Daphnia pulex: one gene and its partners. The protein of the gene in region 3 interacts with the protein of the main gene of each other region in a pairwise test. Links are inferred from orthologs where the notes say so. Each region holds a gene or a part of one and is shown on either strand. Other genes may lie near its edges.

Region 1 (4,238 bases), on a different chromosome or scaffold from region 3:
TATAGTTTTTGCATGCTCAGCTTCCTATCTTCACTTTTTCGTCTGTGCGCAACATAGAGCATTTTAATTTCGAATAAGTGCATATCACAGTTCGGTGAAGTATATGGAATCTGGACGGAAGACCGCTTATTAAACACTTAGTTTTCTCAGAAACATTCATCCATATGTTCCCACAATACATAACTTGGGTATTTGTGATTTACTAATGTTTCACTGAAGAAAGATAGATGAGCCAAGAATAAGTCGATTGCTGGATCAGTACTTCATGTGCCGGGTTTTCTGATTCACCGGTAACTACTGTGCGCCTGATGTGTTTCTAATGTTGCTATTTGCCATGGTGATACAAGTTATACATCAAAACTTCTCTTTTCATTTTATCGTGTACTGTTACTGCAAAATAAGAATAAAATAAAAAGGGGAGAATTCTAATTTTATCCTTCAAAACAAAACAAAACATAAGAAATGCCTCGTGCAACGCCTGCAGACCCACTGGCCAAACACTAATAAGTCAACTAAATATGTCGTAATTTAATTTGTAAGTGGGGGTGGCGTATATCTACGTTTTAAAATCCTTCGTTGTTAATAGAAAAGTGAAAGAAAAGTAGAAAAAAGCTCGCAAATTGTTGCTTCCTTTTTTATTACCAAATCATGTTGCGTAATCACAGTTTACGTCTTCTTTAAATTCAAAAAATGATTGTACAACCACTTGCTCGATAAGAGTCAGTCATTGTTGCTATTATTTGAAAGCTGAAAATTTATGAAAATCTAAATTAAGTGATATATGGCTATATGCAGGCTGTGAGCCTGTAACCAAAATTGCCAACTTAAATATTTCCTAAATGGAAGTGAATTTCGTCATTCTGATTCTGATAAAAAAAATTTCGTCAAATCCGGCTTGAAATCGAAAGATGAATAACGTGAAAATTTTAGAATTCGAAATTTCTTTCCGGATTTAGTTGAAAGCTTCAAGCGGGGCTTAGTTATTGAGCGCATTGTCGCCTTGTCGGGTTAATTTAGCTCCATGTATATATAACACTAGTTTTAAGTTGTTGTCCAAGTTGCTGATATTAGCACGGCTTTATTCAGTGTCAGAAGATTAATCAATGACTCCATATTGATTTTCCGTTAATTTTTGAATATTTGAAATTTGGAAATTGACAGAAAAATTGCTACTCAGTGAAGCTTCTCTTTTTTTAAATTAACCATTTAATATATAAACTTTCATTGAAATTGTAGCTTTAAAAATTGTATTACTCAAATGATTAAAACAATTCTGCGTCAATTTACTACATTTTCTACCTCAGAATACAGAATCCACAAGAAAGCAGTAATTTAGTAAACAACCAAAGAATATCTAGGTTAGCCATTTGTAATAATAGGTTTTGTGTTGGCTAATGTCCTGTAGCGCCAACTAGTGGGTGTGTAACGTAAGTGTCAAATTTGAAATAGGACTGTTGGGACTTGGGACTTCAACGGTTCACAACGATAACGTACTCACAGTCGGTTCTTACATATTGCAGTCTAGTTTTGGTTTTTTAGCTGTTTAAAACTCACGCGAATCGTTAGGAGCACGATATTTCGACTATAGACTCGGTTACAAATATCACAAAAAACGTTGCAGTAAAGTAATAAGTACTCACTCAAGTCTCTTACTGGATACAATTTAATCACATGTTTGTCACATCTTCATTGTTTGAAGAAAATGGATTTATTTACTCAGGTCTGCATATTTTTTTGTTATGGTGCCATCAAAATATTTTCACTTTTGATTTCATTGATGTTGTGTTGTCATACTTACAAGTTGTATTAACATTTTTCAGAACATGATAAAAAGAACAAAGCAGAGGCAAGAGATGATGAAAGTGAAGCCCAACTCCGGGTTGGGCTCATTGTCATCTAGTAAACTAGAGAATCAAACCATTCCATCAAATTCAAGCCAAATTTCAGATATTGATGAAAACATACCATTGTGTAATTTCGAGGAAAAAAGAAATGTAATTCGAAAGGAAAATGATGCAGGTATTTATTTAAACAACTAATTTAATTGTGTGGGTTGAGGCAGAAACTATTTCACTGTGGTTCATTAACTATGCATCAAGTTCTAAAAAAAATGGAAAACTAAAGTATTTTGTTCCGTTATCTTCTTTAATAGGTATCAAACATTTAAGACACAGCCCTACAAAAATTGAGGTTCCAAGTGATCAAACTTCTCCATTACAAGTGTCAAGAAAAACTAGATTGGAAGCTCTAGCCTACCGGATAAATGATTGGGTAGATGAATCTGTTGTAGCTCCTAAACCAATTTCATCCACTCCTGAGAAAAATCCTAGAGGAACCAGTACTCCTTCTAAAATAAGAGATACAACTACTTTGAAGTCTGCAGCAAGTGTGAAATCAGTGGTAGGTTCTCATAATTATCTTTTCTTTTAATATTAAAACAAATTTACTTCTATTGTCCACCTCACAGTTACAAGAATGCACTCCTGTGAAAGTATCTGGAAATGAGGATGTATCAACTCCTTACAAATCACTTGCGTTAGATAAATCGGTTCTCCAAAGCTTGGTATGAACAGCGAAGATTGATCTTCATCTTAATAGACTTTAATTGTATTTGTGTTATCCTTTCTATTCTACTTTGTTTGTTAAAAAAAATTATGAATAGGAATCCCAAGGTTTCACACCAACTGAATCACGGTCTCGTTTAATATACGAGTTTGAGAAAGAGCAAGAAAACGAAATAGAAGAAGAAACAGCCAAGTCTTGGACGTTTACTGCCGGATCGCCGCATAAATCAGCATCTCCCTTGAAAACCAGATCACCTGCTGGTGTTACACATTCAAGCAATACTCCAGCAAAGCCAAAGGGACCAGCAAGTCAGTTGGCTGGAAAATTTTCTAAGAGACCATCAGGTGGTCTAATATCATCAGATATGAAATCAGCCAGAATTTCTCAGAATATACGAGAGAATCACGAGTCTACCCCTTCGTCATCGAGCGCTGTGGAACTAGAAAAAAAGAAGCCTGAAAATAGAATGCGTTCTGTGCAGGAGTTGGCTGCTCAATTCGATTCGCCTCGCGTGCCAATGAAAGATCCAGCTGAAATGACAATTTCGGAAAGGAAGGCACTCTTTGAACACAACAAAGGCCAAATTTCTAATTCTAAACTACGAACACCACAAACAAGTCGTTCTGTTATTTCGCCACGGACGACAGCCATCGATTCGAAGAATAAAGGAAATCTCGATTTTTATATGAAAGAGAAATCTAATTCTCCACTCTCGGTTGTGTCTGGTAAAAGAAGTTCACTTTCTTTCGCGTATTTTGTCTAACACTTCCTTTGTTGTATTTTCAGAGCTTTCAAGCGTACAAACTGCTAAATCAAACCACTTTAAGGAGCAGCAGAACCCAAGGGGTGGCAATATCACTAAAATGTCGGAACCGCTGACCCATGGAGCAGCAACTTCAAGTCCTATCTCTAACTGCACGCCGAAGCCGAATATTATGAATACCGTTGCTTCGTCTTCCAAGGAATATAATTTAGATCAACCATCGAGTGGCATGTTTCGCAATATTCATGCCGAACCATCGCTTGACAAAAATATCGAAGAACAGCAAAAACCTTCCGGGGCGCTGTACGCAGGAATTCATCAAGTTCGTCCCATAAGAGTATCCCCTCCTAAACCGGGTAAACTCTATCCGTGTTTGTCAGATATTGACAGCGTAACAGAAAACGAATCAGAGTCAGATGAACAACAAACGGACAATACTCCAAAAAGCACAGAGTATGTATACACAGTTAATTAGTTACATCCAATTCAATATTTCAAAAATATTTGTCTAATTTGTAAATTGTAATTTTATCAGTGGTGGCGATTTGAGAGCAGGTTACGATTTGGATAGTAGCTTCACTATTGAAATTCTTGGGCGAGCAGGTTTGAGTCAATTCATCAATACTCCCAAGAGGAAACTGACAGAAATGCAACTGGATAAACCACAGGTGCGCCCTAATCTTGGTGTGAAAGAAATCATTTCGGTAAACAAAATTTAAAAGAATCATAGCAAAATTTGTTGATACCCGGTTAACCATTGAATCAAAATTGAAATAGGATGATGATGACTCAACGGATATCAGTGACCTACTAGATGAAGCATTGGGTGATACTGAACATTCCGTGTCTCCCAAACATCAGAAAAGGGATGATTGCGATCAATTAACATTGGAAGATGATGGCCTTGCCA
Region 2 (3,979 bases), on a different chromosome or scaffold from region 3:
TCCTTGGCTTTTACGTGTTGGATTTCCATCTCACCCTGATTAAGAAGGCAATCTTTCTCCTTCAACTCTTCTTCCAACAACCTTAAATGAGAAAGACGAAAATTAAAAACTGGTGAATAGCCGTTTTTATCTGGGAATATTTACCTGGCGTATTTTTGATGCTCGAGTACATGGCGCTGTAAGGTAGCGTTAGCCGATTCCGCATTGAGGACACGGTTTTCAAATGTTTGACAACGCGAACGCTCATCTTTTAATTGCTCGTTCAAACTCAAGTTCTCTTGACGTTTCAAAATGAGCTCCTCTTCCATTTCACGAATAAGAGTTCGGACTTCGACACATTTCTTCATTTGCTGCTCCCGGCGACTCTGTTGATCACGGATTCGCACCTTTGAGAAAGGAATTACACACGTGTATAGCATTCGCAAATTTATGCTGAAATATAAAACAACTACCTGCAGATACTCAACCAAGGCCGTTATAAGTCGATCATCCGATGCTGATTGTAATTCCAGAGGAGGCCACGAACAGCGAGCCGCACTGAAAACCATATCAATGTCAAACGGCACTTCTGATTGGGGGTTCGAAATTCCACCCTGCAAAATCACATTGAAGTTAAATATGAGACTAATAAACTCGCATTGATGGAATAAAAACCTGTTCCAGTTTGCGATATGCCTCGGTTAGAACACGATTGGCCTTTCTGCGGCCTGGGAGAAGGGCGTCTCTTCCAGCTGGCGTTGCTCGAGGAGTAGCTTCCAAGCGAATATTGGGCTGTACGGCACGAGCGATTTGCACTTCTTGAGCCATTTCAGCAAAACGCATCACGGAAAGAGTTTCGTCGTAATCATCCGCACGCGGGTTCACGCAAACAATCATTCTAACCTTTCCTTCGCCGTCAAAGTAACTCTGTTTACAAAACATTTTAGCATTTAGTAATATTAGATACATTATGAACTTGACAGGACGCTTACCTTGAAAAGATGTGTGATTTTAGAATCACGGTAGGGCACCATTTTATTAGTGCCATTCAATTGGTTTTCGCGCAGAATTTCCAAGCAAGATCGAAGCGTCATCAAGGTGTTGTTGATGCTACCAGCTTCACGCAAACGTTCGCCAGTGGTTTTAGTTCGACTGTTTCTTTCTGAACCAGCAAGATCAACTAATGAGAGCTGTCCTACAGTTAGCACCTTCTCTGGAATGGCACCCTTAAAATTAACAATTGATTAGTTTTTTAATTAAAATCGCAGACTTAGTGATCGATCGATGATACCTGGTAATCAAGCGGAGCCTGAACAACGCGGATGTTAAATACGGAGTGGCTTCTACTCGACTCTGCGTTGAGAGTAGTGTGAGCAACACGGCGTCGCTTTTGTCCCTTGGCAAGAACTTCAGCAGCTTCATCGGCCGACTTAACTTCAACTTCAGTCACAGCATGAACATACCTGCAAATAAATAGGTTAAAGCAGCTCACCTTAACAAGTGAACTGTTCACTTACATATTGTGATGTTGGTCTTCTCGTAAGATTTTTGATTGTATCTTGCCAGGTCGAAGAGGATCGATAGGAGTATCGTCCAACAGATCGAAGACTGTATTGTTGTAAACTTCAACAAACGTTACAAAAACTGAATAAGCCTGGTCTTCATCTAATGCTGAAATCCGTGTAGCATCCGTTACGCGCGGCCCTTCGTTCTCTTGTCCTCTGCGTGCAGGTGTCCTAAAGTATCGCAATTATAATTAGATTGTTTCAAAAATTTTTAAGAATTTGGTATTCTTACTTGAACTTGTTTGAAGTTTGAGCTTCAGATTGCCTTTCTGATAATGCATCAATTTCACTTTGGATTTCAAAACTGTTCATTTTATCTGGTTTGAAGATATACTTTTTAGCCTGGTAGATTGAAGATTAGTTAGTACAACTGTATTGCGACATTTTTATTTTTGAAATACCTGGTAGTGACCAATGCTGTTAAAAATAACATCCAAACAACGAGGGATAATGCCACCATCCTGCAGCTCACCATTCATTGTGTGTGTTTTTCCTGATCCTGTGACTCCATAGGCAAATAGCAAGCTATTCTTTCCATGAAGCAAGTCTTCTATTAGCGGTAAAGTCACAGTGTGGAAAATAGGTTTCTGTGTGGTCTTCTCGTCAAACACACCAGTGAATGTATATTGTGTTGCCTATCAAAAAGAAAGCAAGATTAAAATACTGAAAGTACTTTCAAAAATAAATTGCTGGGAAATAAAGTGTCAACTTACTTTTGTCGTTCCACTTCTGTAACCTTGAGAAGTTTCTGGAGGTACAACTTGAACTACAGTGTCACTTAAAACAGTTACACACGAATCATCAGAGGGGACATCAAGAGGTCTGATTCTGCAATACACTTGCACAGGATCCCGATCTCTGGAAGTCATCAATGCTTGTTTGGACCGTGCTGGGGTAATTGGTGGTTTGGTTGGCACCTTAGGTGCAATCTTCAATCGCCTAAGATCAACATAAAACATATTCTTAACTTCTTTCGTATACAAAGCATAGTGAAAAAAAGAGCATAATCGGACATGAAGAGAGCACGAAACACAAATCACACACTAATACGGTTTGTAGAAAACTTACGATGGTTTCATTTTCGAGCCTATTCGGTTCAGTACTTATGAACCCCTGTCAAATATTTAAAACGAATGAGGGATTTCAAAATGTAAACCGATTTGTCTGTGCAGTGGGCAAACTTTTTGGCCGTTGTCGATTGTCGTTTCATTCAAACTGAGTGCAGCATCGCCAAATCGCCAGGTGTGAATTCGAAATACAGCGTTGCCAGTAACCTGACTTATTTATGACATTGAAATTTGAAAATTCGAATACAAATATTAAACGTATTTTAACAACTTTTTATTTCATTACAGAGGTAATCACTTCAGAAAATTTATTGTAATGAATACACATTTTTAAATTATCATTAAAAAAATTAGTTCATGGTTTGGGGAGTCTATACATTCCAGAGGAGAAAGACAACAACTGTTGCTTAACTTTTGAATCAAGGAAATTTTTCAACTGTTGCAGAGTGCACTCTGCCCCACTAGAGCCTTGCATTGTAAACATTTTAAGCATCTGGTGAATACGCTCAACTGGAAGGGCTTCGAGATTTGTCAGCATGCCAACAACGTACGACCAATAAACTTGCAAACCATCTTCTTCCGTTTTTTTCTCACTATCTTCCTCGTCGTCATCTTCTTCTTCTTCCTCCATTTTCGCTAGCGTTTCTAAAAGAATCTACGAAAAGGACGTAATTGCAAAATACATACATTTGAGAAACGGTAATAACTTTTTAAGATATACCTTATGTCCTGTGAAATTTGGTCCATTTTCATCCACTTTGAAGCGATCAGTAGAAATTTCCTGGAGGACCCCGTGTGTTTGCCACACGTGAACTCGCCTTCGAAGATGAGACATTGGTAATTCCATTTCCTGGCTAAGCTCTTCCAAATCCCATTGATCCTTGTCTTCAAAATGAGATATGATGGCAGCCAAATCGGGCGGGACGGTGAAAGACACGCAACGGTGATTATCAAACTCCAGTTCCAGTTCCACAGAACCCGACTGAGGTACCCAATGCAGAGAACGACTCGTTTTCACCGTTTTATAGTTTTGATTATATTGTTCGAGCTGGTTGATGATTTTGATCGGCAACTTCATCGGTTTGTCCTTCAGCTGGTCCCAATACTGAGCTGATATAATCATAGCCGAAATCGGAAACTGGATGGAAATAAATAGAAAAAAAATTAACTTTTATTTATCGATGCGCTAAACGAATTAAAAACGTACTTCAGGTTTGTGCACGACCGACTGTAGGTGGGTGTTGATTCTCTTGGAGTCTGCCACGTCCTTGAGCATCACTTCGCAATTGTGCAATTCGTTTTCTCCAAATCGAATTTTGAGAAATTCTAAATTACGAATCTCTTCTTCTGTGTCAAAATGAAGGTTCA
Region 3 (4,282 bases):
TCGGTCTCCACGTCCACGTAGCGAGCCCAATAATCACTCGGGATGAGCAAGAGCCTCTCCATGGTCTGTAATTGCATAACGACACAAGTATTAGCCCTGCAAATCTGAGATAGGGAAAGGAAAAACTTTTTACCAAGTGCTGTTTCTTAAGCTGCTTGAGCGCCATTTCTGGAAGCGGATCTGGACACGAGTAACCAATTATGGTCGGGCCAAAGATCCTGGCCAAATTGGTAATTGGCATCTTGCATACCTCAGCTTCTGCGACGCTGTTCAAACAAAATCGCAACAATTAAGTTGATGCCAACACAACTTTCAATCCCGCACAAGTTTTACCGTTGAAGGTGAAGAATGACGTATGCTAGAGTGTCTCGATTAGGTTGCGGAAGATCGGGAACGAGCGAGTACACAGTGGTCTGAATATCCATTTCATCGGCAAGTTCGGCGATCCGAACGAAACTGTCCCACAGCGTGTAGGTAATGAGTGGCTCTTTCAGCGAGCGGAAAAACAGCTTCAACGTGCCAGTGACAACGTGAATATCAATTTGAGACAAAGTCGGCTGGCCTTTGCCACGCAAGAGGCGCTCCTGAAATTGAATAAATCAAAGGGCTGTCATTTGGGACTGATCAAATTTGGGGTTCGATTCCTAGTGATGAAATTACCTTCATGTCTTTAATTTCCTTTTCGGAACCGTTGACACGATAGATGCCAACCTCTGTCAATCCGCGGCGCTCAATTTCGTTGACGCAGTGAATGACAATGCCGGGGATCATAGGAGAGATGTTGGGAGCGTAATCAGCAACGGTTCCGACGAATCCCTTATTAGAGGGTGTTTGAACAGTCGGGACGCAAGGCATGGGCATGCGGGACTTGCAATCAACGTGACAAGTTCCTCTACATTCGACACACTTCAAGGCGGGCTTGCCAAATTTAATCCTGCGCAATAAGAGGTTTCACTAATTAAATTAAAGCCCAGCACGTTTCCCAACGCAAAGAAAATACAACACTCCTCACCTGTTGCCACAAGGGAGGCAGTTCTCTGGTTTGATGATGGTTTTCTGGCTGAAGGTGTGCTGGCGCTGATTGATTCGCCCACCAGAAGCCATAGTGCGCAAGTACGCAGTTCCGCCAAGCGTGTGGGTCGAGTGCGCTGAAGCCGACGGATTAGCACTCGGACGGCGGATGGCCACGGGAGTCTTGCCATCTGGAAGTTCCCAAGATGATTCGATCAAATCTAGTTTGTCAACAAACAATTAATTAGCTGTTGTTCCCATTGTTGTGGCCAGGCAATCAAGACAATTTATCTCTTACACTGCGGAGGAGCGTTCGGTAGGATTCCCGGTTCGCTAGAACTGCGCTTTCTTTGGTTTTTAGGTGTTGCATTGCTGATATCGTTTTCCCTGCCCATATCGGGATGGTTTTCAATAATAGATGTGGCTGTGATTGGACCTCCCTTGGATACAGTCACTGTCGTTGTGGCAACCACGCGTTCGTGACCGGACACTTCCATGATATTCTTTAAATGCAAACAAAGAAAAGAGAGTTGGTAACTAATGTCACAGAAACGAGGGAAACTTTGAACTGTACCTCGCGATTAGACGACGCCTTGTATCGTTTCGAGTTGTCGAGATTGTACATTCCTTCCGATGTCCTTTTACCTCGAGGTGCCCGACTGGAACGCATCACTGAGAGCTCGAGTTCTTCCTCTGTGCGTTCAGTGGTCAGGTCGAATGACGCCAAGAGCGAGCCGGTGCTGTTGAGCTCGTTGATTGTGTTTAATCGGTCACCAGGCGAATCGAAATTGCCACGCGAGTAGCGTCCTGTGTTGCTGAGCATCGCCAGCTTTTCACGTGTCTCATCTCGAATATCTTTCTCAGCTGACACGATTTCACGTACAACGTGCAATTGCTTTTCCTGTAAAACAAGTGCAGACGAGACATTGATGGTAAACATTAAAGAGTGATAATAATGTTGCAGATAACATACCAAAGACTTTTTCTCGTCAGACACTTGCTTTCTGACTTTGATCTCATTTTTCAGCAAAACAGTAGCATGGTGGTATTGCAGCTCTAATTTGCCATTCATTTTGTTGACTTCATTCAACTGATTGTGCAGACGTTTGAGCTCTGCTTCAGCTTCGAGCCATTTCTGGCGGCAAGCTTCCTGATTAACGGCAAACTTGAGGAATTCTAAAAAGAAGGAAAGTGTCAAATGCAATGATTGCCACACATTGTCTTGAGCAATTTACCTTTTTCAGAACTGTTGACAAAGTAATTGAAGCCTCTGCACAGGTCATCATACTGAGCCAACACAGATACCTGCTTGGCAGACATGGCTAGGGGAAAACCTAAATAAGAATCCATTAATGTCAATGCCACAACGGGGGACCAGTTTGAAGTTTGGCGAAACAACACATCAACAAATTTTTAATTATACAATTTTCAATAATTAAAACTAAAAATGTTTAAATATCTCAATAAGTTCAATCAAACCCTTAAATAAAATGTTTAAGACTCTTTCTAACTGTTGACAACCAGAAAATAAGACAGTTTGGAACACCACTACAATTGACACTTGTTTGGGTGTGATTTGAAAACCAAAGAAAAGTGACACACAAAATGCTTTAGAAAAAATTTTTAACAGCAAAAAAAAGTAAAAACGTTCACATACCAAAAATAAAACACTCTTAATGATGGAAGACAACAGAAATCCCCGTTGTAATTTGAAGCTTTCTTGTAAAACGGTTCACTTGTGGCTTACAGTTGGCATCCCGACGACGAGTATCGAGGGAAAACGCTTGGATTTTTGAAAATGTTCCGTTGAGGAAGGGTGCGGCGTTGCCGATTTTCCGTATACATGCTCGCCCCTCCCTTAAAATACCCCACCCCCTAGCCTAGTCCACCTGACAACTAGAGAGTAATGGAGCTTACAGCTTAAAGACGTTGGAAAAAAAGGGTGAAGATTTACGACAACAAAAATATACTGGATCGATATGTATAGCGATGGCTCCATATTTATTTTCAATTATTCATAAGAAATATTATTCTCCATGAATAACGATCACGAGTAAACATGACGTTTGCTGCCGCCGGGCATGGATGCGCGGCGGACATGCTCCCGTCTTTAAAAAAAACCCAGAAAAATCCCAAAATGTTGAATATGGAAATGTAAGCAATAAAAGTCAATCGCATTATGGAAATGGGGGATTTGGCAGATATTCCTTCATCCACCACGAGCGCTTTCCATCGTCCAATGAGCCATTAATCGCATTAAATCTACTTTTTCTCCCGTTTATGTCCACCATATTTCTTGACATTCTCGGAATTTCTTTTTTTTTCCCCAAGAAGATATTAGAGACTGCTCATCTGCGAAGCAAAAAAAATATACATAAAATAAACCCAGCAGAGAAACGGTTCTGTATATGCATGAAAGCGATAATGTAGTAGTACAGTAGGAGTCGAGCGAAAGTTTTGCGCGAGCTATATAGCCTCCTCCTCATCCATAACTCGAATAATCCATCATCCAAGACCATAGACACATATACTTTCTCTCTCTTTCTCCATTTCGTCGTCTTATATTCCATCCAGGGCTCTTTTCTCGTTTGAAGTTGGACCAAGCAACTCTACACTATATACTATATATCTCTGACACAGACTCGCCCGGGAGAGTTGGGTTTGGTTGCTGCTGCACACAGTATAGTAGTAGTACTATATACGGCATCAACTCTGAAAGGCGACAGATATTGCTGCCGTGCTGCATGCTTGATGTTGGATTTACACTGTCTACCCTAGACATCTACATTCAAAAGAGCGCATTCGCCTATATGCTGCTAGCTGGTTCAATATTTATTCTGAAGCTTTCAGTCTAGCTATCCTTTTTTATTTCGACTGACTTGATGGAAGTCGCACAGCATCGCACGACTCTTTTTTCTCTTTTTTCGTGTTGAACAAAAGTCATTCAAGAAAAGAATTGCTGCGAACCGCACTCGAAAGAGATCAACACCGCGACGACGGGTTTGAAATATTCAAAAATGATTTTTTGGAAGGAGACTCTCATTTCTCGGCGGGATATCGTGTTGCTGTGTATACACAGCGACTATAACGCCAAAGAGATACACAAGCGAGAGGGTTTTCAATATATGACATTCGAGTCTGGAAAAAAAGGAAGGAAAAGACACGTTGCATTGATGGGGTCACGATCGTCTACAAACCAAAGACGATCCGCATTGTTCTCAAATTGAAAAAGAACGATGGAAACATCATCGCCTGAGATTCTCCCATCCGA

What was found. The genes of interacting proteins can lie anywhere in the genome.
Region 1: the proteins of rac GTPase-activating protein 1-like (region 3) and anillin-like interact in a two-hybrid assay, tested with the Drosophila melanogaster proteins (2 studies listed by BioGRID). The link is inferred for Daphnia pulex from reciprocal best matches to the Drosophila melanogaster genes tum and scra.
Region 2: the proteins of rac GTPase-activating protein 1-like (region 3) and kinesin-like protein KIF23 interact in a two-hybrid assay, tested with the Drosophila melanogaster proteins (3 studies listed by BioGRID). The link is inferred for Daphnia pulex from reciprocal best matches to the Drosophila melanogaster genes tum and pav.

Annotation. Positions count from the first base shown.
Region 1 is NC_060019.1:5,226,218-5,230,455, reverse strand, and holds the start of anillin-like, read left to right. Parts: upstream 1-1,437; 5' UTR 1,438-1,625; intron 1,626-1,699; 5' UTR 1,700-1,702; coding exon 1,703-1,720; intron 1,721-1,820; coding exon 1,821-2,019; intron 2,020-2,152; coding exon 2,153-2,400; intron 2,401-2,467; coding exon 2,468-2,563; intron 2,564-2,662; coding exon 2,663-3,290; intron 3,291-3,351; coding exon 3,352-3,781; intron 3,782-3,863; coding exon 3,864-4,032; intron 4,033-4,105; coding exon 4,106-4,238. UniProt on the Drosophila melanogaster protein: Required for cytokinesis. Essential for the structural integrity of the cleavage furrow and for completion of cleavage furrow ingression and proper formation of the midbody.
Region 2 is NC_060023.1:8,671,714-8,675,692, forward strand, and holds the start of kinesin-like protein KIF23, read right to left. Parts: upstream 2,802-3,979; 5' UTR 2,624-2,801; coding exon 2,613-2,623; intron 2,484-2,612; coding exon 2,258-2,483; intron 2,180-2,257; coding exon 1,946-2,179; intron 1,887-1,945; coding exon 1,777-1,886; intron 1,716-1,776; coding exon 1,497-1,715; intron 1,443-1,496; coding exon 1,271-1,442; intron 1,206-1,270; coding exon 972-1,205; intron 907-971; coding exon 655-906; intron 594-654; coding exon 453-593; intron 387-452; coding exon 145-386; intron 82-144; coding exon 1-81. Other genes in the region: anaphase-promoting complex subunit 2-like, read right to left, coding at 2,967-3,266, 3,333-3,749, 3,819-3,979.
Region 3 is NC_060028.1:9,420,418-9,424,699, forward strand, and holds the start of rac GTPase-activating protein 1-like, read right to left. Parts: upstream 2,814-4,282; 5' UTR 2,669-2,813; intron 2,346-2,668; 5' UTR 2,332-2,345; coding exon 2,247-2,331; intron 2,188-2,246; coding exon 1,985-2,187; intron 1,913-1,984; coding exon 1,586-1,912; intron 1,515-1,585; coding exon 1,310-1,514; intron 1,233-1,309; coding exon 1,013-1,232; intron 935-1,012; coding exon 661-934; intron 585-660; coding exon 334-584; intron 267-333; coding exon 134-266; intron 66-133; coding exon 1-65.